3 linked regions of the Lonchura striata genome follow. The protein of the gene in region 3 purifies or fractionates together with the protein of the main gene of each other region. This does not show direct contact. Links are inferred from orthologs where the notes say so. Each region holds a gene or a part of one and is shown on either strand. Other genes may lie near its edges.

Region 1 (7,785 bases), on a different chromosome or scaffold from region 3:
CTGCTGTCCCTGGCTGCCCACAGCCTGCCTGGCACGGGGTGGCACTTGGGGACATCCCTGCCTGGCACACCCACGGGGCTCCCTGTGCCCCGGGCAGTGCCCAGGTGTTGGTGCCACCTGGGCCAGCCTCTGCCCTCTCCCCTAAGCCACACTCAGGAGCCCGAATCGAGCCCAGGAGGGTCCCCAGCAGCCCCAGAGGTGGCCCAGGTCACTTGTGCTGCTCCTTTCTCCAGCAGCAAGCCCTGCCCAGGTCTCCCTGCCCGCCTGAGCTGCCCAGCCCTGGGCAGGTGAGGCCTCACCTCTGCAGGCTGCAGCCGTCCTCGGAGGTGGAGAAGAGCAGCAGCGGGGGGAAGAGCGAGAAGCGCTCGGGGATCCAGGACCAGACGAGGCGCATCTCCTGCGCCGTGACAGTGCTGGAGCTGAACTTCTGCATGTCCACGGCCAGGTGGAAGGACGGCCTGCCAGGGGAGGGACATCAGGCCGGGCTGGGGTCCCTCTGCTTCTCGGGGCACAGCCCCTGCAGCAGGTTCTGCCCTGCCCTTTGCACTGTGAGCTCTGTGCCAACATCCCCGGCTCTGCTGTGCCCTGACAAGGGTTCCCGGTCTGGCTGTGCCCTGACAGGGTCTCCGGTCTGGCTGTGCCCTGACAGGGTCCCCAGTCTGGCTGTGCCGTGCCCCTCAGAGGGTCCCCCAGCTCTGCTGTGCCATGTCCCCTGACAGGGTCCCTGGTCTGGCTGTGCCGTGTCCCCTGACAGGGTCCCCCAGGGGCTGCGAGGGCCCAGCCCAGCCACAGCTCTGGGAGGTTCCTGCAGCTCCCCCGGGGGCTCTCCACAGGAACTCACATTGTGGCAGCTCGGCCCCAGAGCTGGGGAGTGCAGAGCTCTCCTCACCTTCTCTGCACCACGGTGATGCCCCTCTCCACCAAGGCCTTCCTGTTGGCCATGTGGAGCAGCCAGATCTCCTTGCGGGAGAAGAGGCGGATGCCGAAGGCTCTCTCCAGGAGTTTGTCCGCAGACACGTGCTCGGCGATGTTCCTGACGAAAGCCTGCAGCTCCGCCTTGACGTCGGAGCCCTGCAGCCCGGCCGGGGCCGCCGAGAGCCGGAACTGCTTCAGCAGGGCCAGGGCGATGCGGTACAGCACCTTCTGGCCCTCCAGCAGGAACACATCCAGCACGCGCACGGCGTAGCCGAAGGGCAGCCCGGGAAAGAGCCACGACAGCCACTCCGAGTAGACCTCGAGGACGTTGTCGGCGGCGCCGGCGATGAGCTTGTGGGCCGCCGGGCAGTGCTTGCTGGCCAGGTCCCCGAAGGTCATGCAGGAGGCCTGGTGGGCCAGGAAGGACTGGTCGATGTAGGCGGCGTGGGGCGCATTGCTGGCGATGAGGCGCGAGAGGCTCTCGAAGCACTGGGCCTCGTCCTCGCTGTAGTGCAGCAGCAGCGCGGCCAGCGCCGGCAGCAGGGGGCTGTGCGTGATGTCGGGGAACAGGGCGCCCACGCACACCAGGATCTTCTTCAGGGCCGTGACCCCGTGCGGGCTGAGGCAGTAGGTGGGCACGGGGCAGCCCTCCAGGAACTCGGGCAGCGGGTGGGAGCTGACGCTGCGCTTCCCGAAGAGCCGGCCGGCCACGTCGCGGTAGGCCGGCGCGTCGGGCGTGACGAGGCGGCAGGAGACGCGCTGGATGAGCCGGGGGTAGAGCCGGGCCCGGCCCGCGTGGCTCCGGGCCCAGCAGCCTTCCCTCGCCAGCCGCTTCAGCTCCTTCGGGGGCCTGCCCAGCACGTCCCGCGGCACCGGCGCCGGCCCCCGCGGCTCCGGCATCTTGTCCCAGTCCACGAAGGGCCCGCGGCCCCGGCACGAGGAGGTGTCGATGTCCCAGGTGTCGGCCTTGGACGTGACCACGATGGTGACCGGGGCCGAGCCGAGCATCTCTGCAGGGCAAAGAGCGTTTATTGAGCACCTTTCGCCGCCCCAGCCTGGCTCGGGGTGCTCTGAGCCTCACAGCCACGTCCGTCCTGGATTTCTTTGCTCTCCCCTGCAAAGGGAAGCGTTTCAGGCTTTGCCCTCTCCATCAGCTCCGGGCCCCGAGAAGTGTGGGGCCAGGTCCCAGCTGGGTGTCAGGGCTGCTGCTCACACCGCGAGGGGCTTTTCACCCCCCGAACGCTGCCAGCCCCGGGGCAGGGCTCGGGCAGCCCCAGCCCGGCGCTGGCAGAGCCGAGCCCGAGCTCCGCCGGGAGACGGGAGCGGCGTTTCCCCGGGGCTGCGGGAGCTCGGGACGAGCCGAGCCCGCCCGGGTGAGCTCTGCTGAGCCAAGGGGACACGGGGACAGCCCGTGGTGGCACAGCTCCGGCTCTCGCTCTCCTGCTCAGCTCGGCGCTTGCCCGAGCCCAGCAGGAGCAGCGGGCCGGGCTCAGGGCCGGAGCTGCTGCATCCGGAGCCGCTCCTGTCCCGGACACAGCCCGACCCCAGCACGGTCACGGGGGCTCCTGGCCGCAGGAACCAGCCTGAGACAGCACCGGCGCTGAGTCGGGGGCTGTCTGCGCCCCAAGTTCACCTCGGCTCTCTCAGGGCGCTGCCCGGGTACCGCGGAGCATCATCCCGAGCCCCGCCGGTGCCCGGCCCCGGGCGCCGAACGGAGGCTCCGGCTCTGCCCGCCCCGGACGAGCCGCGGGGCTCGGGGCAGGCACCGGGCTGTGCCCAGCCCCTCTGACCCGCCCGGCGCACTCACCTCGCCCGGTGCCCGCGTCCTCGCCCGCGGCCGGCTCGGCCATGGGGCAGCGGGGCCGGCTGAGCCCACCCGCAGCATGGGCCAGCCCGGCCACCCCGCGGCTCCGCTCTGCCCCGCACCTGCCCGCGCTCTTAAGGTGCGGCCGGCCCGCGGCCGCGGGGTTTATTTGGGGTAAACACAGCGAGGGTGGAGCAGCTCCGCGCCCGCATCGCCCCTTCCTGCCCCGGTTCCGCGCCGGGCCCGGCCGGGGGCTGTAAACACCCCGTGGGCCGAGATAGCATCAAACAGCAACACGAGCAGTAAACGAGCCCTTTATTTTCCCCAGGATAACCTTCGTGCTCCCGCTCGGCTGCGGCTGCTGCGGGCCGGCCGTGGGCTCCGGCGGCCCCGGTGTGCCCCGGGCAGTGGCTGGCACCGATCGGTGCCAGCCTCGGAACGCGCAGTGAGCGCTGTGCCCACGCACGGAAGAGCTGAGCCGGAGGAAAAGCGGCTCCAGCAGCTGCGAGAGGCTCCCGGGACACCGGCCCGGTCCCGCAGCGCTGCCGCAGAACTCCCAGCTCGGGCTGTGCTCAGCGGGCACTTTTATAGGCATCCCAAGCTTTTAAAAGATGTTTATTTGCCTTTAAAATCGGATTGTTTCTGGTGTGATAAGAGCAGCTGCAGGTTGTTCCTGACCTGCCTCCCTGCCTGTGAAATATGAAAGATGTAGAGGCCGTGGGGCTCGGGCTGAGCAGCGCAAGCCGAAGGCCATGAATGTTTGATGGCCGCGGCTGCGGGAGCATCTCCGGGTGTGCGGAGAGACGGGCCAGGGGACAGAGCCCAGCCCGGAACGGGGGAGCAGAGCGGGGATCAGTTCTGGAACGGGGATCAGAACACGGATCAGTTCTGGAACGGGGGAGCAGAACACGGATCAGTTCTGGAATGGGGGAGCAGAGCGGGGATCAGTTCTGGAACGGGGAGCAGAACACGGATCAGTTCTGGAACAGGGGAGCAGAGCGGGGATCAGTTCTGGAACGGGGGAGCAGAACACGGATCAGTTCTGGAATGGGGGAGCAGAGCAGGGATCAGCCCCGGAACGGGAACAACGTGCTGAGGAGATGCGCTCGTTCTCGTTATCAATGTCGTTATCACTATTGTTATGATTGTCCCTATCGCTGCCGTCATCGCTGCCGTTATCAGCACGGCCCCGCATCACGAGGGCGACAAAGCCTCGCTGGCTCTGTCAAACTCCTCGGGTTTGTGCCCCATTTGCGTCACCGGTCGCCCCCAAAAACAAAGGGAGAGGGCAAACCCCGGTGGATCAGGGGTGGGAAGGGCTCGGAGCCGAAACAGCGACAGTGCCAACACCTCCAGTGGCACCGGGACCGGGGCACGGCGACATCGGCATGGGCAGCGGCTGTCCCCGCAGATGGGCAGGGACAGGGGACAGCGCTGGAGAGGGAACCGGTGCCACCGCTCAGCGCTGGGTTTCTGTGGCAGCAGGGAGGGGTGGGGACAGCTGTGGCTGTGTGCTGTGCACATCTGCACACATCTACACCTGAACAGCCTAAACACCTCTGCACCTTGTACTGCAAACCTCTGTGCATGGAACCTCTGTTAACCCCGAACATCTGCACGTGTCCCTACGCCCCGCACATCTGTCCCTGCACTCTGCACACCTGCCCCTCTGTCCCGAACACCCCAAACATCTGCCCCTCTATCCCGAACATCTGCAGCTGTCCCTGCACTCTGCACACCTGCCCCTCTGTCCCTGCAAACCCCGAACATCGGCCCCCCTGCCCCGAGCACCGGCCCTGCCCTCCCCGCTGCGCCACCGGCGCCGCTCCCCGCACTGCCGCCCCTCGGGGGCCGGCTGCGCTGCCCGGGCCCGAGCCCCGGTACCTCTCTCCATCTCTCCATCTCTCCCCTCTCTCCCCATCTCTCCCATTTCCCTCTCCCGTTTCCCTTCCCCTCCGTCCCCTCCCGGCGCCTGCGCGCCCGGGCGGATCCGGCGGAAGCTCCGGGCAGGTTCCGGGCCGCGATGGCTCCGGACCCCTGGTGAGCTCCGGGCCGGGCCGGGCCGGGCCGGGCCGGGCTGCGGGTCGGGGCCGGGCCGGGAGCCGCCCCGCGGGGGCTGCGGAGCGTGCGGGGAGCGGGGCCGGGCGGGGCGCGGTGTGCCTTCCCAAAGCCCGACCCGGTGTGCGTGTGTTTGTGTTTGTGTTTGTGTTTGGGGTCTGTGCCTTCCCAAAGCCCATCCTGGTGTGGTTGTGTATTTGGGGTCTGTGCTGCCCTTCCCGGGCTCCTTTCCCAAAGCCCATCCCGGTGTGTTTGTGTTTGGGGGCTGTCTCTGCCCTTCCCAGGCTCCTTTCCCAAAGCCCATCCTGGTGTGGTTGTGTATTTGGGGTCTGTGCTGCCCTTCCCAGGCTCCTTTCCCAAAGCCCATCCCGGTTTGTTTGTGTTTGGGGGCTGTCTCTGCCCTTCCCGGGCTCCTTTCCCAAAGCCCATCCCGGTGTGTTTGTGTTTGGGGGCTGTCTCTGCCCTTCCCAGGCTCCTTTCCCAAAGCCCATCCTGGTGTGGTTGTGTATTTGGGGTCTGTGCTGCCTTTCCCGGGCTCCTTTCCCAAAGCCCATCCCGGTGTGTTTGTGTTTGGGGGCTGTCTCTGCCCTTCCCAGGCTCCTTTCCCAAAGCCCATCCTGGTGTGGTTGTGTATTTGGGGTCTGTGCTGCCCTTCCCAGGCTCCTTTCCCAAAGCCCATCCCGGTTTGTTTGTGTTTGGGGGCTGTCTCTGCCCTTCCCGGGCTCCTTTCCCAAAGCCCATCCCGGTGTGTTTGTGTTTGGGGGCTGTCTCTGCCCTTCCCAGGCTCCTTTCCCAAAGCCCATCCTGGTGTGGTTGTGTATTTGGGGTCTGTGCTGCCTTTCCCGGGCTCCTTTCCCAAAGCCCATCCCGGTGTGTTTGTGTTTGGGGGCTGTCTCTGCCCTTCCCGGGCTCCTTTCCCAAAGCCCATCCCAGGCTTTGGGGCTGTGTGGTTTTTTGGGGGTGTTGTGCTTTCCCCTCCCGAGGCTTATACCGGCGGGTCGCAGCACATCCTGGCGGGTTCTAGCCCATCCTAGCCCATCCCGGCTGATCCCATGAGATCCCAGTTGATCCCATGAGATCCCAGCTGATCCCAGCTGTTCCGGGTGGGTCCCAGCCCATCCTGGCTGATCCCATGAGATCCCATCCCATCCTATCCCATGGATCCCATCCCATCCCAGCCCATCCCATGGATCCCATCCCATTATCCCACGCCACGATCCCAGTATCCCGCTGTCGCTCTGCAGGCTGCCGCAGCTGGCCGCCGCCCGCCAGCTGGCCCAGGACATCGCCGAGAAGCTGCAGGAGCGGAGCCGCTGCCAGCGGAGCGGGGAGAGCTCGGCCAAGGTGCCCCGGCGGGGGCGGGACCGGCGGGGCTGGGGCCGGGATTGGCTCGGGAGGCGGAATTCCGGCATGCGAGGAGGAATTCCCGGGGTGCGGGGAGGAATTCCAGGATGGAGCTGTCCCAGAGGCTCTGGGATGCTGGGATGGAACTGTCCCAGAGGCTCAGGGATATTGGAATAATGGGATGGAGCTGTCCCAGAAGCTCAGGGATCAGGAATAATGGGATGGAGCTGTTCCAGAGGCTCTGGGATGCTGGGATGGAGCTGTCCCAGTGGCTCAGGGATGTTGGGATGGAGCTGTCCCAGAGGCTCTGGGATGTTTGGATGCTGGGATGGAGCTGTCCCAGTGGCTCAGGGGTGTTGGGATGCTGGGATGGAGCTGTCCCAGTGGCTCAGGGGTGTTGGGATGCTGGGATGGAGCTGTCCAGAGGCTCTTGGATGCTGGGATGGAGCTGTCCAGAGGGTCTGGGGTGTTGGGATGCTGGGATGGAGCTGTCCCAGAAGCTCAGGGATCAGGAATAATGGGATGGAGCTGTCCCAGAGGCTCTGGGATGCTGGGATAGAGCTGTCCAGTGGCTCAGGGGTGTTGGGATGCTGGGATGGAGCTGTCCAGTGGCTCAGGGGTGTTGGGATGCTGGGATGGAGCTGTCCAGAGGCTCTGGGGTGCTCAGCAGCTGCTCTGTGCCCTCTGTCTGTGAGCAGGGAGCAGATGTTCCTCCCCCAGGGCTGGCTCCTGCCTTTTGCAGTGCCTGCAGGTCAGAGGGAACAGGAATCTTGCAGCCGTGTTTTAGCTGCATTTCTCACAGAATGCAAGCCCAGAGTTAACAGGAATGAGAAGCAGCAGTTGGAGCTTCCCCAGGAATGTTGTGTCCTCCACGTTTTCACACTCCCTGTGTAAGAAATAAAATAAAGTTAGGGTTTTCAGGAGACTGCTTTCCCTGGGGCTCCTTTCCTTCAGGAGCAGCTTTGAGTCATTACCTGCTCCCTTGGCTGTGTTCAGGTGAAAATTGCTGCAAGCCCTTGAGTTGGTAGTTTTTAATAATTGGCATAATCAAAGGTGCAGTGCTTTTTCTCCCCCTCTCTGTATCAGGGCTGTAATGCAGTGCCTGATCACTGGATCTGCTGGGCCACTCACTTTGCTGAGAGGTGTTCAAATCAAATGTCATTTTTGAAATGTTTCCTAGGAAGAAATTCTGAGGAAGAGTGTGTAGGCTGTGCACAATAACCAGTGCTGCTGAATGGCTGCCTCACTTCAGCAGGAGTTGAGCAGGGGTCTCAGAAACCCCAATAAGTGGGATTTGGGAGCAGGATTTTCTCTGGCTGTGGAGTGTTTGGAGGTGCAGATTAAATTCCTGCTTTCAGGATGGTGAAGTGTCAGAATTGCACAGATACTCCTCAACAACAGAAGACCAATAAAAACTTGCTGCTCAGTCTGTATTTATGGAGGGCAAAGTTCTCTGCTGCCATCAGTGGCACCTCTGAGGAGCCCAAACCCCGATGGAACATGGGGCTGGTGCTGTTTGGAGCCTTTCTGGGGCTGGAACTCTCCGGGGTTGTGTTTGTGGAAACATTGCACGGGTGACTGACTCCTCCATAAAATCATCTGTCCCATGGCCTGCGTTTTCCAGCTTCCTTTCATCCATTAACAGGTAGAGAGGAATATTTGGC
Region 2 (8,007 bases), on a different chromosome or scaffold from region 3:
AGTCACTCATGCTGTATTTTAATTACGGATATGGAGGAATACATATTTATATAATTTTAATCATTAGGAGTTATAAGAAGTCAGAAATGTGCCACCAACAAGGCATACCCATATCTTTGTCAGCACAATAATTTCAGAGTACAAATATGTATTTCTATCTTGCTTAACTAATTAAATATAAAGAAAGATTTAAAATAAATTTCCATTTATAAATTCTCTAGTTGTTCTTCCAAGTTTGTATTTTTTTATTCAGTCTTAGGTGAATAGTAGGAATGCCTAGAGTAAGAAGCCAGAAGACCATGACAAATTACTACTATGAGAAAGAAGAAAATGCTTAAGAACAAAAAGAAATCAGCAAGTAAGGATTTTATATTTAGCATGTCTTGGCAGTAGAAAAAGGGAGGAATGAGACTCTACTGTGCCTGAAATAATCTGCCAGCATTTCACCTTACGGAGACAGTCTTTGACAGGACATATTTCATAAGGTGATGATAAAGCAAAATTTTAAAATCAGCTTGAACGTCTGTTGTTTTGTAGATAAAGTCATAGGATTTGGGGGTGGACAAGTGAAAGAAGGAAAGAAAGCTTTATTTTTGTCACGTATAGCAATATAAAAAATAGAAGTTGCAAGCTTGAAAAAAGAAATTGGTTTTGGAAACTGTTCTAGATCTCCAAGTACAACCTGAGATTTATTTTATAGTGATACCAAGAGGATTTTTTGTTGTTTCATCTTCCATTTAGTCTTCACAACAGTTATACTTACACAGTAATGTAATAAAAATACATAAAACATTATAAGGGACTCAGCTTGATGAATACTTTTAAATATATATGGCCATATTTACTGCCACATACCTGCCTTCCCATATTCAGTAGCTGCACTGTCATAATCTGGTTTCCACTTTAAGAATCCAGTTTTCAGGCTAAAACGCAAGAAGCAATTAGTAAAGATTTTATGTTTTACCATAAAGGCACTTCAGATACATTTCAAACTTTAGAATACCCCTGGAAATGAGCAATTACCGATGTGCCAATACTATGGTGGCATCTGTACCATAAAAACAAATGCCAGCACTGGTAAGAACTGCATAAAGCACTGCAATTATCTCCCAGTTACCATCCTCACCTAACATGCTTCTACTGTTCCCAGAGAGTATTCCCAACTCCATCTTCTCAGCAGTAAGAAGTCAGCAGAATAAAAACACTTCCTCCTACACCAACATGGTATCTCCAGATTTCTAATAGCATGACACCTGACAATATTTTTTTTTTTTCACACATCAGGAAGTTTCCAGCATTCCTCTACAGGATTTTTTTTTTTTTTTGCTTCTGAGATTTATCAAAGACTCTCCAATGCATACACAAATAAAAGAATTTAGTTACCAACACAAAGATTCACATGTCATTTATATGTCTAAAATAGATCATGACACTAAAAGGCATAGATACATAGAGGAAAATGAACATTGGAAAATTAGTTGAGTGATTAGGCAACTTGGAATTCAATATGCTGACTTCTCTCATTTCTAAAAGAAATTAAAATATTACCATAATTTTACCGTCTGCTTGTATATTTGTTATTGGCCAATACATCATATGCAATACATTCTTTACTTGGCTAAACAGCTGTAGATATGGATACTAAGGTGGCCTTGCTGTCTTACTTGGATGATGACCAGAGTGTGTAACTCTAACACAAGCCTATATATTGTGCTATTTTTATCACAGTCGGAGTCTCAAATGCATCAAGCTGAAATACACAATGCACTCAAGCTACACACAATTTGAGGTCTCAGTGCCTTTAATTTCAAGTGCTCTACAGATAAGCTTAAAATTAATTCTGCTGGAGGGCACTTTCAGTCAAGTAACTTGAGTAAGATATGCCAGGCTTTTTCAACTTCAAAGCCTTCCCTCTATGCCAATTTATACAGTTGATCCATGATATCCAGAGGGCCTGTCACTACTCTTACTAAAACTATGGCATCCTTGGATTAGTCAGCTCTATTACATCTATATTGTACTCTGTGCAATTCAGACTTACAAGCAAAATGGCTATATTTGGTATTAAAATACCCAGTAACAGACTATCATAGATGTTAAAGAGAAAGCTCTCCAAGATAAGTATAGGTTTTTGAAGGCACCTAAGAAGCACCAATCACAGATTTCTCAAGGGCAGAGAACAACCACCCACCACCTCAGCAAAGTCAAGCCCTTTTACCCAACACAGCCTCCATAACTCTTTTCTCACACTTGTCTATAGCCTTAAGATGTGCCAGGGTAGGTTTAAGATGGACATTTGGAAGAAATTATTCACAGAAAGGGTTATTAGATATTGGAATGGGCTGCCCAGGGAGGTGATAGAGTCACCATCCACAGCGGTGTTTAAGGAAAGATTGGATGTGGCACTCAGTGCCCTGATCTAGTTGACAGAGTGGTGTTGTGTCACAGGTTGGATTCGACCATCTCAGAAACCTTTTCCAACCTAATTGATTCTGTGACTTGTCTTCCTCCCACTAACTTCAGCAGAAGGGCAGACGTGGCAGCCCTTTCTTTGCTGTCAGCGTCGGAGCAATAGAGGCCACAAGGCCCTGAAGGGAACTGCTCGGGCTCCAGGCCACTGAGCCACACCGCCCACGGACCCCACTGTTTAGTCTTAGGGCCCTTTACTGTCGCCGTTGGGGGCAGCAGGCCCTCTAGAGCACCCAGCCCGGTACGGAGGCTCCTCTCAGGCAGAGGAGGGGCCGAGCAGCCATGCCCCCCACCTCCCTGCCCTTCTCCCGGTGCGCCGCCGCCTGGCACACGGAGCCTCCTCAGCCGCCCTGCCAGGCCAGGAGGGGACACGCCGGGCGGCCGGGACCGCGCGGGTGCCGAGCTGGCAGCCGCTCGCCAGCGCCCCGCAGCCCGCACCCTCCGCCCCGCGGCCCTCCGCTCACTATTTCTCCGCTTTCGCGATGTGCTCCAGCGCCTCGTTAATCTTCTGCGCCGCCATCTCGCCAGCGGGGCGGGGCGGGCTCCGTCCCGCTCCTCCGCCCCCCTGCGCTGCGGCTACGGAACGGCGCAGGGATCACGGGCACCGGGAGGAGCGGCCCGGCCCCGCCCGCTGCCCGGCCCCGCCCGCTGCCCGGCCCCGCCCGCTGCCCGGGCCCGCCCGCTGCCCGGGCCCGCCCGCTGCCCGGCCCCGCCCGCTGCCCGGGCCCGCCCGCTGCCCGGGCCCGCCCGCTGCCCGGGCCCGCCCGCTGCCCGGCCCCGCCCGCTGCCCGGGCCCGCCCGCTGCCCGGGCCCGCCCGCTGCCCGGGCCCGCCTGCGCCGGGGCCGGGGCCGGACTGCCCCGAGTGCCCGCAGTGCCCCGAGTGCCCGCACTGCCCCGAGTGCCGGGGGTGCCCCGAGTGCCCGCACTGCCCCGAGTGCCCGCAGTGCCCCGAGTGCCGGGAGTGCCCCGAGTGCCCGGACTGCCCGCAGTGCCCCGAGTGCCCGCAGTGCCCCGAGTGCCCGCAGTGCCCGCAGTGCCCCGAGTGCCCGGACTGCCCCGAGTGCCCGCACTGCCCCGAGTGCCCGCAGTGCTCCGAGTGCCCGCAGTGCTCTGAGTGCCCGCAGTGCTCCGAGTGCCCGCAGTGCTCCGAGTGCCCCGAGTGCCCGCAGTGCCCGCAGTGCCCGCAGTGCCCGCAGTGCTCCGAGTGCCCGCAGTGCCCCGAGTGCCCGCAGTGCTCCGAGTGCCCGCAGTGCCCCGAGTGCCCGCAGTGCCCGCAGTGCCCGCAGTGCCCCGAGTGCCCGCAGTGCCCGCACTGCCCCGAGTGCCCGGACTGCCCCGAGTGCCCGCAGTGTCCCGAGTGCCCGCAGTGCCCCGAGCGCCCGCAGTGCCCGCAGCGCCCCGAGTGCCCGCAGTGCCCCGAGCGCTGCGGTCCGGGCACAGCGGCTCCGGCGCGGCTTGTGCAGGCATGGGTGCCCAGCGCTGGGCTGTGCCGCGCTCCGGGGCTGGCGGGCAGCTCCCCCGCACAGCCCCGTCGACAGAAGGTTGTTAAAAAACGGACTCACACAGAATCCCAGAATCGTTAGGCTTGGAAGGGATTTTTGGAGATCATCTGGTCCACCCCTCCTGCCAAGCAGGGTCAGCTAGAGCAGGTGACACAGGAATGCATGCAGATGGATTTTGAATGTCTCGGAGAGGGAGACTCCATGACCTCCCTGGGCAGCCTGTTCAGTGCTCTGCCACCCTCAGTGTGAAGTTCTTCCTCATGTTGAGGTGAAATTTCCTGCATTTTATTTTGTGGCCGTTGCTCCTCGTCCTGCCACTAAGTACCACAAAAAAGAGCCTGGCACCATCCTCCTAACACCCTCCTTTGAGATACTCATATGTATTGATGGGATCCCCTCTCAGTTTTCAGACTAAACAGGCCCAGCTCCCAGTCTTGCTCATAAGAGAGATGCCCAGTCTTTGTGGCCTCTGCCGGACCCTCTACAGTAGCTCCTTGTCTTGTAATGAGGGGCCCAGAACTGGACACAGCCCAGAACAGGAATGAGCAAGATCTGCGTTTCCCAGGGTTTTCAAAAAGAGGCCAGGTTTTTTACAAATGCGTGCCCTGCCTTCAGGAAGCCTCCAGAGGCAGTTCTGCTGAGGCATGATCTTCTGACTCAGTGTTGTCTCCAGCCAGTTTGACACAGAGATCTGATGCAGAAGGTGTGAGTGGTGGCTGAGCACACCAGAGCCACGTAATCGTGCAAGTTACCCAAATTATACACTCAGCAATTAAGTAAAAAATGCTAAAGTATCTATTATTGCTCTTATTTCCAGCTTCCCTGATCCCTTAGTTTTGTTAATGTGAAACATCGCTGAGAAACAGAAATCAGTCATTGAACCCAGGAAGGTATTCCTTCTCCAATCTTGGACATCATTATTTTATTCCAATATTGTGGGAACTCAAAATGTCTTTCAGACATTTTCAGAGATTCCAGGCCTTGGTCAGAAGCATTCTAGACCCTGGCAGACAGCTGAAAAACAGCTGTGATTTTGAGTTTGAGCCATGGAATGAATTACCAACTTTGGAAGTGGAACAAGCAGTCACAAAAGGTTAGATAGTATAGTAAAAGTAATTACAAAGTAGAGGGGAAATTTTTTTAGTATTGTACAGGGGGGTTTTAACACATGTACAGGGGGGTTTTCACTTTGTACATGGGGGTCAGAAGTTCTAAGATGGAGGAAAGTGGGCTGATCCTGTTCTTCCTCCTTCTTTTTCCTTACCTCCATGTTCTTGGTGATGTTGGCACTCACAGATTGGTTTAGAGTAGAAAAACACTTGGCAACATAGGTAGTAGGTATTGGGGAATAATTGTAAACATGTTATATGTAATATATCTTATAAAAGATAGCAGCAGCCCTGGGCGGGGGGAGAGACAAAGAAGACAGCAGACAGTGAGGGTGTCAGGGTGTGTGTGTCTCTGCTTGGGCCGCTGATCAAATAGCCGCAGTCCAAGAACATAATCTGTTAGATAACTAGCAATAAACTGCCTTGAGACCGAACAGCTAAAGCCTGTGGAGTTTTTCTTTGGAAGCACGGGTTGGAAGAGGTATTTCACCACCACATGAGACCCCAGAGCAAGGCCGGGGATCTCACACAATATGAATAAGTGAAGTATTTAACACCAGAGAAAGCAAAGCAAGAACCTGGTTAAATTTGCAGAACTTCCCAGAGCCTAAAAGTCATTGAAATTATCCTTATGGGTCCCTTCCAACTCAATATACTGTGCTTCTCTGAAAGTCCATACAGTTTACAGAAATCAGAGCTTTACAAGTTTCTACATCAAACTGGGAAAAGAAGCAATATTTACGTGATTTGTTTTACTCTAGGTAGTCATAAAACACACAAGTCTGTATTGCTTTCCCTTCCTTTTCCTTTTCCCACATTCCTTCGATGACATGGACACTTAATTTTCTGACTTTGGTTCATGCATTGCACTTGAGAGGTTATCACCTATTGCAGATGGTGGAAAATTCCCACTAAATCTTAAATACTATTATTCTGTGTCCTAGATCAAAGTAGGGGAAAAGGTTGTGGAGAGGTTTTCTGCTTTCAAAAGCAGATGAGTTGTCATGGGAGTACTGGGAGAAAATAGCTAATCCTGCATAATACATACACAAAAAAGGTTTTTGGCAAGTGCTTGGTGGTAGCAGGTATAAAGCAGAGGAAGCTATGATCAGAAAGATTCCTGTGTCATCACGTCTGTCTTCCTTTCCTTGTAATGTCAGCCAGGATAGATCTGGCTGTATAACTATGAGCTTGCTCCAGTGCATTTTAAAAATAAACTTGTGTTAACCAGGAAAATTAAATCCTAGGCAGCAACATTAAATGACAGAATAATCTCAGACTATTGTTCTGAAGCACCAAACTTATGACTTCTAGTCTGTGTGTTTGTTTTTGCTAGGGCTTCTGGCCTCCTCTGTTCCCTGGGTTGTAAATATCTGTTCACTTTCTAGTGAAACTGCACATGTGCACTGTCTGGTTACACTTTATACTGGAATGACCAGATGAAAGATTTCCAAGACTAGTATTAAATGAAATAGGATATTCTTGGGTAGCTTTTCTTTTGTAGACATGGAACCTCTGGAGATTTTACATCTGGGAAGGATCATATCACAGCATCTGGTGCTTGGCTGTGAATTTGGTTCCGAAAAAATGGCCAGGTAAAATGTGAAAAAAAAACCCCAAAAAAAACCAAAAAAACCCCAACCAAACAAACACCAAAAACAAAACCTTGCAGGGATGATAGTTGGAGTGACAAAGATAGGAACTCTATAAATAGCTGTATTAGTAGAAGTCACTGATCATTAGCCAGTCCTCATCTACCTATCACTACACCTTGCAAAGAGTTTCTGTCTTCTATATAAGCATTTCTTCATTTGCATCATTGCAACCAAAGGAATCAAGTTGTGAGAAACAAGGTGCGTAAGCTTTACAACTAATTTGTCTTAAATGGGTTAAAAGGCACTTGTGTATCTCTTCATGGGGATAACTCTGGCTAAAGGCTGGAGGCAAGCAGCTGGAGACAGCACTGTCCACCATTATGGCTGAGTCCCCCTACAGCCCTGCCATCAGGACAGTCTGGGTGTCCTTCAGAGAGCTGTTGTTAGTTATATGAAACTATCAGTACAACCAGTATCAGTACATAGCTAAAATTTGTTTCTTAATTAACTGTAACTTTTCAATAAATATGTTGTGTTCTTTCAGAAAGTCAGGACTGGCTGCAGCGAAATGTACTTTAAGTCAGCTTCTGAATCCTATCTGCTACTCCAGTGGATCTGGAAGGTGAATTTAAGTTTTCCCAGATCTGGATTTCTCACCTCTGTCTGGTACCCTTTTATGGCAGCAGAACATGGAAAGTTCTGCTTTATAATTTATTAGTGTCTGAAATTGGAGTCATAACTACAATACAGCTCCACTGCCATGCTGAGGAAATTATCTGAGAGGAAGGGAGAGGGATCTGCATATTTCTTCTCCCAGAAAGACTGGGCCATCACTAATGGTGTAATGTACAATTGGGTCAGACAAATTTTGGGCCCATAATATACATAAAAACTCTGTGCTCTGTGATCACTCCAACCCAGTGCCAGCACCTGAGTGCCCTGGTATCTTTCCTTTTCCTGTCTTCAGCATTAAATCCATATAACTCATATGTCTTTCAGACATCACTGTCTGTGGATATGGCAGAAAGCAAACAAATAACTCCGAGGGCAGGAAAGTTAATAAAGACTGTTTTTCTGTAGATTTGTGTCTCCCTACTGATTGTCTTTAATTAAATAGCAGAGGACTGCAATGTGAGCATGCCTCTTATTAGATGTCAGAGAATAAAGAGAGAGATATTATAAATATCCCAACTGGGAGAAGATGGTAATGTTTACTTGGCTTTCCAGATTCATTGGACATGAGAAAGAAGGAGGACGTTCTGGTAGGATGAGCCAATGTGAATCATTCATAATACCTTCCACACGATTTGTTGAACATACATAATTTACAT
Region 3 (6,906 bases):
GAAATGCAAAATCCCCACCTATACATGACCCAGCCTAACAAACTAACTTTCAGACAAGAAAGCGACAGTGAGGCATAGATACCCTCAAGAGAAGTCAGTGGTGCTGAGAGCTTGTGCACTCCTTTTCCTCATCCTTTTTAGACTAACAGAGCTGTTTCTACCAGCCTTGCTATTTCAGTATCTTAAGCTATCACTGCTGCAGAAAAACTTCATTATGCTGTGTTGCCACTTTTACATTGTTTTAAAGTTACTTCAATTATTAGTGCTCTGTTTAAAAAAAATAAAAAGAAAATGCCAAGTGTTGCTTTTAGTTTCAAAACCCCCTGCCCCAGACCTGAATTTTTCTACTCATGATAGTCCAAAGATTTCACAATACTGGCACAAATGATCTTTCGAGAACAGATAGCAATGTGCACCTCACATTTTGCCTTTGTCAATTTGAAATCTTGTTGTAGCACAGAAAGGTATTTTTGACCTCCTTCTCCCTTATCTCTGATATTTTCCCACTATTTTCTTTGTGTAGGCACTCATGATCATGAAACCACACAATGAATCACATCAAACCATTAGGTTACCTGAAAAGCAAGTACATTTTCTCTCCCCAGTCCCTCTACCTTAGAATTATTTTCTGACAGATCAAGAAGCTGATCCCCTATATTCTGCAGCAGCACAGATTTTATCATTACTGAAGTGCTGGGCTCAGCACTTAAAACAGCAGTACAAAGATTGATCCAAATCAATCATGAAATCTAAGCTATCTCATCATGCAGTGAGAAGCAAGACCAAGAAGAATCACCTTTATACAGTTCCACAGGCAACTGAATTGAACTGAATTATCCCATGAGTTTAACAAGTTTCTTCCAATTCAGAGACACCCTCCTGTTTAACTTCTGCTTTCAGCCTGGAGTCTCTGCAGTTGATTAAATGTGTTGCTGGAGAAGCATCACATCCCTACAATGACCACTTCTTTTAAAAGGATGTTCAATGGCTTACAAGGGCAGCTAAGACTGCAATACGAGTTAATCAGTAATTAGCCAGTAATTAGCTTTTACATTCTCCAAGTGTATTCTCACCTAGGACTTCAGATTTCTATTAGATTATACAATGAGGAGTTTGTTGGCAACTCCTCATATACTGAGCTTGGCTTCCAGCAAGCAAGTCTGCACATATTTCACAGTTCTGTCAGACACAGGAAGGTCAGAAAAATTCAGTCAAGCTGGTGACAAACAGCACAAGGACTGCACTCTGTGTGCGGATGCTGAGGACTTGGCAAACAGCATTTGTGCCATAATGTCCAGACATTCTGTGGCTTATTTCTCTCTGCATGGGGAGATTCTTGCACAGCACCATTTCCAAGCCAGGCAAAGTCTGTCCTGCCCTGAGCCAGGTTCAGCAGTTTGCTTTGCTTAGTTTATCTCAGCCAACAGCAACACGTACAGTCTATGCAAAAAAAAGTGTCTAGAAAATGGAAGGAAGAATAAAATGAATAAAGTGTCTAGGAAATGGAAGAAAGAGGCTGGAGCTCTTTATTCTTTGGACAGTGGGTATGCACCAACACACAGAGCCCCTCAGTCAACAGCTTTCCATCTCCAAGCCCTTTTAATTTCAGGCTGTAGAGCCTTCCTCATACTTACTATGTGACAGCTAAAATTTCTTGAAACACTTCAATCTCTCCTCTAGCTGCAAGTCTGCTACATTACCTGAGCAAACAACAGTTTTGCCAGCTTTGCCACCAGTTTTCTGTACATGTTGTGTGAAATGCTCACTCCAGAGACTCCCCAAAGAAGTGAGTAATACTCAGCTGTGCACACTGTTTGCCTGCTCTTTCCCTTACAGGGGAAGAAGAAATGAGGACAGCCTTAAGGCTTCAATACAGCATCTTCTCTTGGCTTGAATGGAAAGCTTTTATTCGGTGTGTAATGAAGTTAACTACTGTAACATTAAGTCAGATGTTCTGAGTGTTCCCACCCACCTCCATAAAACTGTACGGCTATTTGTTTAACTTGAGATAACAGTGCACAGAGATAGGATGGCTGCAGGTCATGAGACAGCAGAAGCCTGTCCCATGAGAGAGAGAAGCTGAGCTGCTTAGAACAGGAGGCTCAAAGAAATCCCGTGGAAGGAAGAAGGAAGGAGTGTAAAGGGAAAAAATAAAAAGGGGGGAAAAGGGAAAAAAAACCCTCAACAAGCCATGCTACTTGGCCAACAATTCAGCAATGTCTACACCAAGGAGAAAAGAACATGACTGAGCAAAACATTTTCAGTAACATAAATGTGTTTGCATCATCAGAGAAGTCACAAGCTTTCTGAGGAACCAACATATTCAACTGATCTAGCATGGGCATTGAACAATTAGCAAAGCCTGTATCTTCAGAAAGGATTACATCAAAGACTCTCCTGGATGTTACTGCCTTCAGTGACCAGTACTGAGATTTCTATAGTTATCGTACAACACCGGTAACTTTCTCTAATGACAGGAAAAGTGCACCTGTGTCCTTAGGGACATCCTGCCGGGAGCAGGACGCTGCCAGCACAGCGAGGGGGAAAGCCGCCCGTTCCACGCCCATTGGAGATCCCTGGGACCGCGGCTGCTCCCGAGCCCGGTGACAGCCGGCGCTGCCCCGGAGCCCTCACTGCGGGCACGCGATGCCAGCGAGCGGCCGGACTGCCCGAGGTGGGAAGGGGCGGCTCGGCGGCAGGCACAGACACCCACCGAGAGCGTTCACCGCGGCTGCAGCCGGGCTGGGCATCACCACACCCGGTGCCTGCCGTGTGCCCGGCCCGGCACCGCTCCGGCGAGGCTCTGCCCATCCCGGCCCCCACCGCACCCTCACGCTGCCGGGCCGGGCCGCCCCGTCCCTCCCCGGCCGCGCACTCACTGTACTGCGCGATGCGCTGCACGTTGCCGCTGCATGTCTGGATGATGCCGCCGAAGTCGCGGGGCGGCGGCGGCGGCGCCCCGGGGCCGCGCAGGTCCAGCGGCCCGTACGACATGGCCGGGCCGGAGCGAGCACCGGCCCCGCTGACAGCGCCCGCCCGCCCGCGCCTGCGCGGCCGCCGCGCCTGCGCGCCGGGGGCGGCCGCTGTGAGGGGAGAGCGGCGGCGTGAGGGCGCGGGCGCGGCGGGAGCTCACCCAGACCCGCAGGGAGCTCACCCAGACCCGCAGGGAGCTCACCCAGACCCGCAGGGAGCTCATCCTGCCCCACATGGAGCTCACCCGGCCCCACATGGAGCTCACCCGGCCCCTCATGGAGCTCACCCGGCCCCTCATGGAGCTCACCCGGCCCCACATGGAGCTCACCCGGCCCCTCATGGAGCTCACCCAGACCCACAGGGAGCTCACCCTGCCCCACCCGGGGCTCACCCGGCCCCACATGGAGCTCACCCAGACCCGCAGGGAGCTCATCCTGCCCCACATGGAGCTCACCCGGCCCCACATGGAGCTCACCCGGCCCCTCATGGAGCTCACCCGGCCCCTCATGGAGCTCATCCTGCCCCACATGGAGCTCACCCGGCCCCTCATGGAGCTCACCCAGACCCACAGGGAGCTCACCCGGCTCCTCATGGAGCTCACCCTGTCCCTCCTGGAACTCACCCAGACCCACAGGGAGCTCATCCTGCCCCTCCTGGAGCTCACCCTGCCCCATATGGAGCTCACCCTGCCCCACCCGGGGATCACCCTGCCCCACCGACCATCACTGCCATTGTAACCTTCAAACACTAAAACATCACCTAGCGCCACATTCCGCTGCCTCATAAAAACCTCCAGGAGTGGTGACTCCACCATCTCCATGGGCAGCCCCTTCGTTGGAAGAACGGTTTTTCTGGTATCTCATGTGAATTTCCACTGTCTCTGCTCAAGGCCATTTCCTCCTGTCCTCTCACTACAGGCATGAGAGAGAAGAGAAGAGAAGAGAAGAGAAGAGAAGAGAAGAGAAGAGAAGAGAAGAGAAGAGAAGAGAAGAGAAGAGAAGAGAAGAGAAGAGAAGAGAAGAGAAGAGAAGAGAAGAGAAGAGAAGAGAAGAGAAGAGAAAGAAGAGAAGAGAAGAGAAGAGAAGAGAAGAGGAGAAGAGAAGAGAAGAGAAGAGAAGAGAAGAGAAGAGAAGAGAAGAGAAGAGAGAAGAGAAAGAGAAGAGAAGAGAAGAGAAGAGAAAGAGAAGAGAGAAGAGAAAGAGACCAGTATCTACCTAGTACAATCTCTTCTTGGGGACTTGTAGAGTCCCCTTGTAGAGTCCCCTTGTGATCCCCCCTGAGTCTCCTCGAGACTAAGCAAACCCGCTTCTTCGTAAGACATATTTTTCTAGAACCTTCATGTGAAAAACGCCAATCACTTGGTTTTTAAAATTTTAAAAGTTTAATAATAATAAAATGGTTATAAAATAATAATACAATTAGAGTAATAAAGTTTAGAGTTAGGACAATTACAAGACAATAAAAAGCAAAGAATTACGGACATCTGGATGCTCTCACACTAAGTCACGACAAGCATGACTTGTGAACAAAGGAATCACCCTTAAAACAATACACTTGTTGCATATTCATATATCCTTCATGGTTATGCATACATTCTATTTAAAACAAGAAACTCTGTTGTATGTCAACTGTTCCTTTAATCCCCATGGTGTCTTTGAGTCTGAGCAGGACCTGAACAAATTAGCTTCTTCTGATAAGAAGCCATAAATTCTTCTCCTTGGGAAGATTTAGGTGTTCCTCAAAGTGAGTATTTCATTCCTAAAAAAAAACTTCCCCCACATACATAATCTCTATTTTAACATTATGTTGGAACCTGAAACTACATTTAACACACTACTTAAGAGAATTAATACAGCATAACTTTCTAACATTACACATATAATATTCATTTCAATATTTGTGAAAAGACAATCATAAAATTTGCATTTTTCACACTTCACAAGCCTTGTTGCCCTTCTCTGGACACTCTCCAGCACCTGCATGTCCCTTTTGGAGTGAGTGGCCCAGACATGAACGCAGCGCTTGCACTGTGGCCTCACCAAGGCTGAGTGCCGGCGCCTGGCCTGGCCCTGCCAGGACAGCCAGAGCTGCAGGCAGTGCCTGTCGGAATCTGAGGTATTGATGATTCCGAGATTGTAAAAATCTCTGTCTTTCAGCCCTGCTGAAGCCATAATTGGTCTGTGCTGGTTTCAAGGTTGTTTATTCTGTTTATCTCTAACATGTTCTGCTGCCCTGCCCAGCTCTGTCCTGCAGGGCAGCGTGTGGGGCTCTGCCCTCAGTGGGATGTTACAAACATTAAATACCAGAAACTCCCTGGGCTGGATTTACAATAACGTGCCAATATCTGTCACCTACGTTGGACAGTGTGTCCCCAGCCTGAACCAACAGAAAAATGCCAACACCACAGTGAGACATGGAGGGCATGAAGAAGGAGAAAAAGGACAAGGCACACCCAATTTCCTCCATCTTGTCCCCTTTGGACCCCTAGAAACCTAAAATTTTACTTTTGCACCCGTGCCACACTTAATTATGACTTATATCAAACACTCAGAGCTGGTAATTCATCCTGTGAGATTGAAAACTCTTTTCCATGGGCAGAGATCACAGCCAGTGTCTCTGGGGGCTCTGTCCAGGGGGGTTCCTGACCCCTGCCAGGGTCCCAGACCTGCCAGGGCAGCCAGAGGGAAGCTCTGGATTCCCACAGGTGGCAGGCTGGGTCTGGAACAAATCCTGCACCGTTTGGAATTTCAGGAGAAATCCTGCACCGCTCAGAATTTTAGAGGGTGGCAGCCCACTCCGAGCCATGGGCCCCTGGACACAAATGCTGCTCCTTCCCCTGTAAAAATAAACTCACCCCACAGTATGTTGATGTCCATTTAGAGGAGGCGTTTAGCAGTGCCAGGGCAGCCTGAGTTATTGGTGGTGGCAGCTTTGTTCTGGGAGAGATCCTGTGCTGTTTGGAACTTTAGGAGGTGGCAGCACACTCAGGGCACAGCCCCTGGACACGAACACTGACCTTTTTCCATGGGAAACGAAACTCACCATCCCAGGTTCCTGATGTCAGTTTGCAGGAGGTGCTTGGCACTACCAGGACAGCCCGAGTTGTAGATGGTGGCAGGTTTAGTCTGGGAGACATCCTGTGCCATTCAGATTTTTAGGACATGGCAGCCCAGCAGAGGCACTTCCCTGTCCCTGCTGGGTTCTTGGTCCAGGAAAAAGGAGCCCTGCCAGGGTGAGGGCTGCTGTGACAGCCTGGCCTAGGGTGAGGAAGAGCCATGCTTCCAGTACTGAGCAATCCCACCAGCAATAATGCAAATGTAAAGGATTTTAAGAGAAGATCCCTTTCTGCTCCCTGCTGCAGGAGTTGTAGTATTTTAATGAAAGTACATCCAATCTTTGAATAAAAAAACTGGGGTCATGCCCTGTATGTTCTTAAGAAATTAGTGTATGTGTGCGTAAAGTAGGAGCGTAAATATTTCTTTAAAAAATGCTTGTTACAACAAAAAAATTCTAATTTCAGAAGCATCCACATCAGGTCAAAATGATGGTAAATAGGGAGCAGGGCCGTGGATGAAACTTGTGTAATAGAGTAAGAGAAGGCTCCAGGGTGGTCTTATTGTGGCCTTCCAGTGCCTGAAGGGGCTCCAGTAAAGTTGGAGAGAGATTTTGAACAGGGGATGGAGGGACAGGGCAAAGGGGAATGGCTTCCCACTGTCAGAGGGCAGGGGGAGATGGGATATTAGGAAGAAATTCTTCCCTGTGAAGGTGGTGAGGCCCTGAAAAGTAAACTTTCCCATCTGCCCACCCAGATGCCACTCTGGGAGTCACACTCATACCAACCTGCTACATTAATGGAAGTGGGATGATGGGACAGGGGAGCTTATGGGGCAGGAAAGGAGTTTTGCAGGAGGATTTAAAGTGACAGCAGTAGCT

The links.
Region 1: the proteins of STX12 (region 3) and STX8 purify together in Homo sapiens (affinity purification with mass spectrometry; 3 studies listed by BioGRID and IntAct, counting the BioPlex papers as one, with this or other methods). This does not show direct contact. The link is inferred for Lonchura striata from reciprocal best matches to the Homo sapiens genes STX12 and STX8.
Region 2: the proteins of STX12 (region 3) and NAPG purify together in Homo sapiens (affinity purification with mass spectrometry; 3 studies listed by BioGRID and IntAct, counting the BioPlex papers as one, with this or other methods). This does not show direct contact. The link is inferred for Lonchura striata from reciprocal best matches to the Homo sapiens genes STX12 and NAPG.

Annotation. Positions count from the first base shown.
Region 1 is NC_134621.1:1,093,946-1,101,730, reverse strand, and holds the start of STX8 (syntaxin-8), read left to right. Parts: upstream 1-4,696; 5' UTR 4,697-4,742; coding exon 4,743-4,759; intron 4,760-6,021; coding exon 6,022-6,121; intron 6,122-7,785. Other genes in the region: TBC1 domain family member 24, read right to left, coding at 300-458, 890-1,925, 2,723-2,765. UniProt on the Homo sapiens protein: Vesicle trafficking protein that functions in the early secretory pathway, possibly by mediating retrograde transport from cis-Golgi membranes to the ER.
Region 2 is NC_134603.1:52,163,484-52,171,490, reverse strand, and holds the start of NAPG (gamma-soluble NSF attachment protein), read right to left. Parts: upstream 3,090-8,007; 5' UTR 2,990-3,089; coding exon 2,934-2,989; intron 924-2,933; coding exon 856-923; intron 1-855. UniProt on the Homo sapiens protein: Required for vesicular transport between the endoplasmic reticulum and the Golgi apparatus.
Region 3 is NC_134628.1:5,437,271-5,444,176, forward strand, and holds the start of STX12 (syntaxin-12), read right to left. Parts: upstream 3,034-6,906; 5' UTR 2,995-3,033; coding exon 2,880-2,994; intron 1-2,879. UniProt on the Homo sapiens protein: SNARE promoting fusion of transport vesicles with target membranes. Together with SNARE STX6, promotes movement of vesicles from endosomes to the cell membrane, and may therefore function in the endocytic recycling pathway.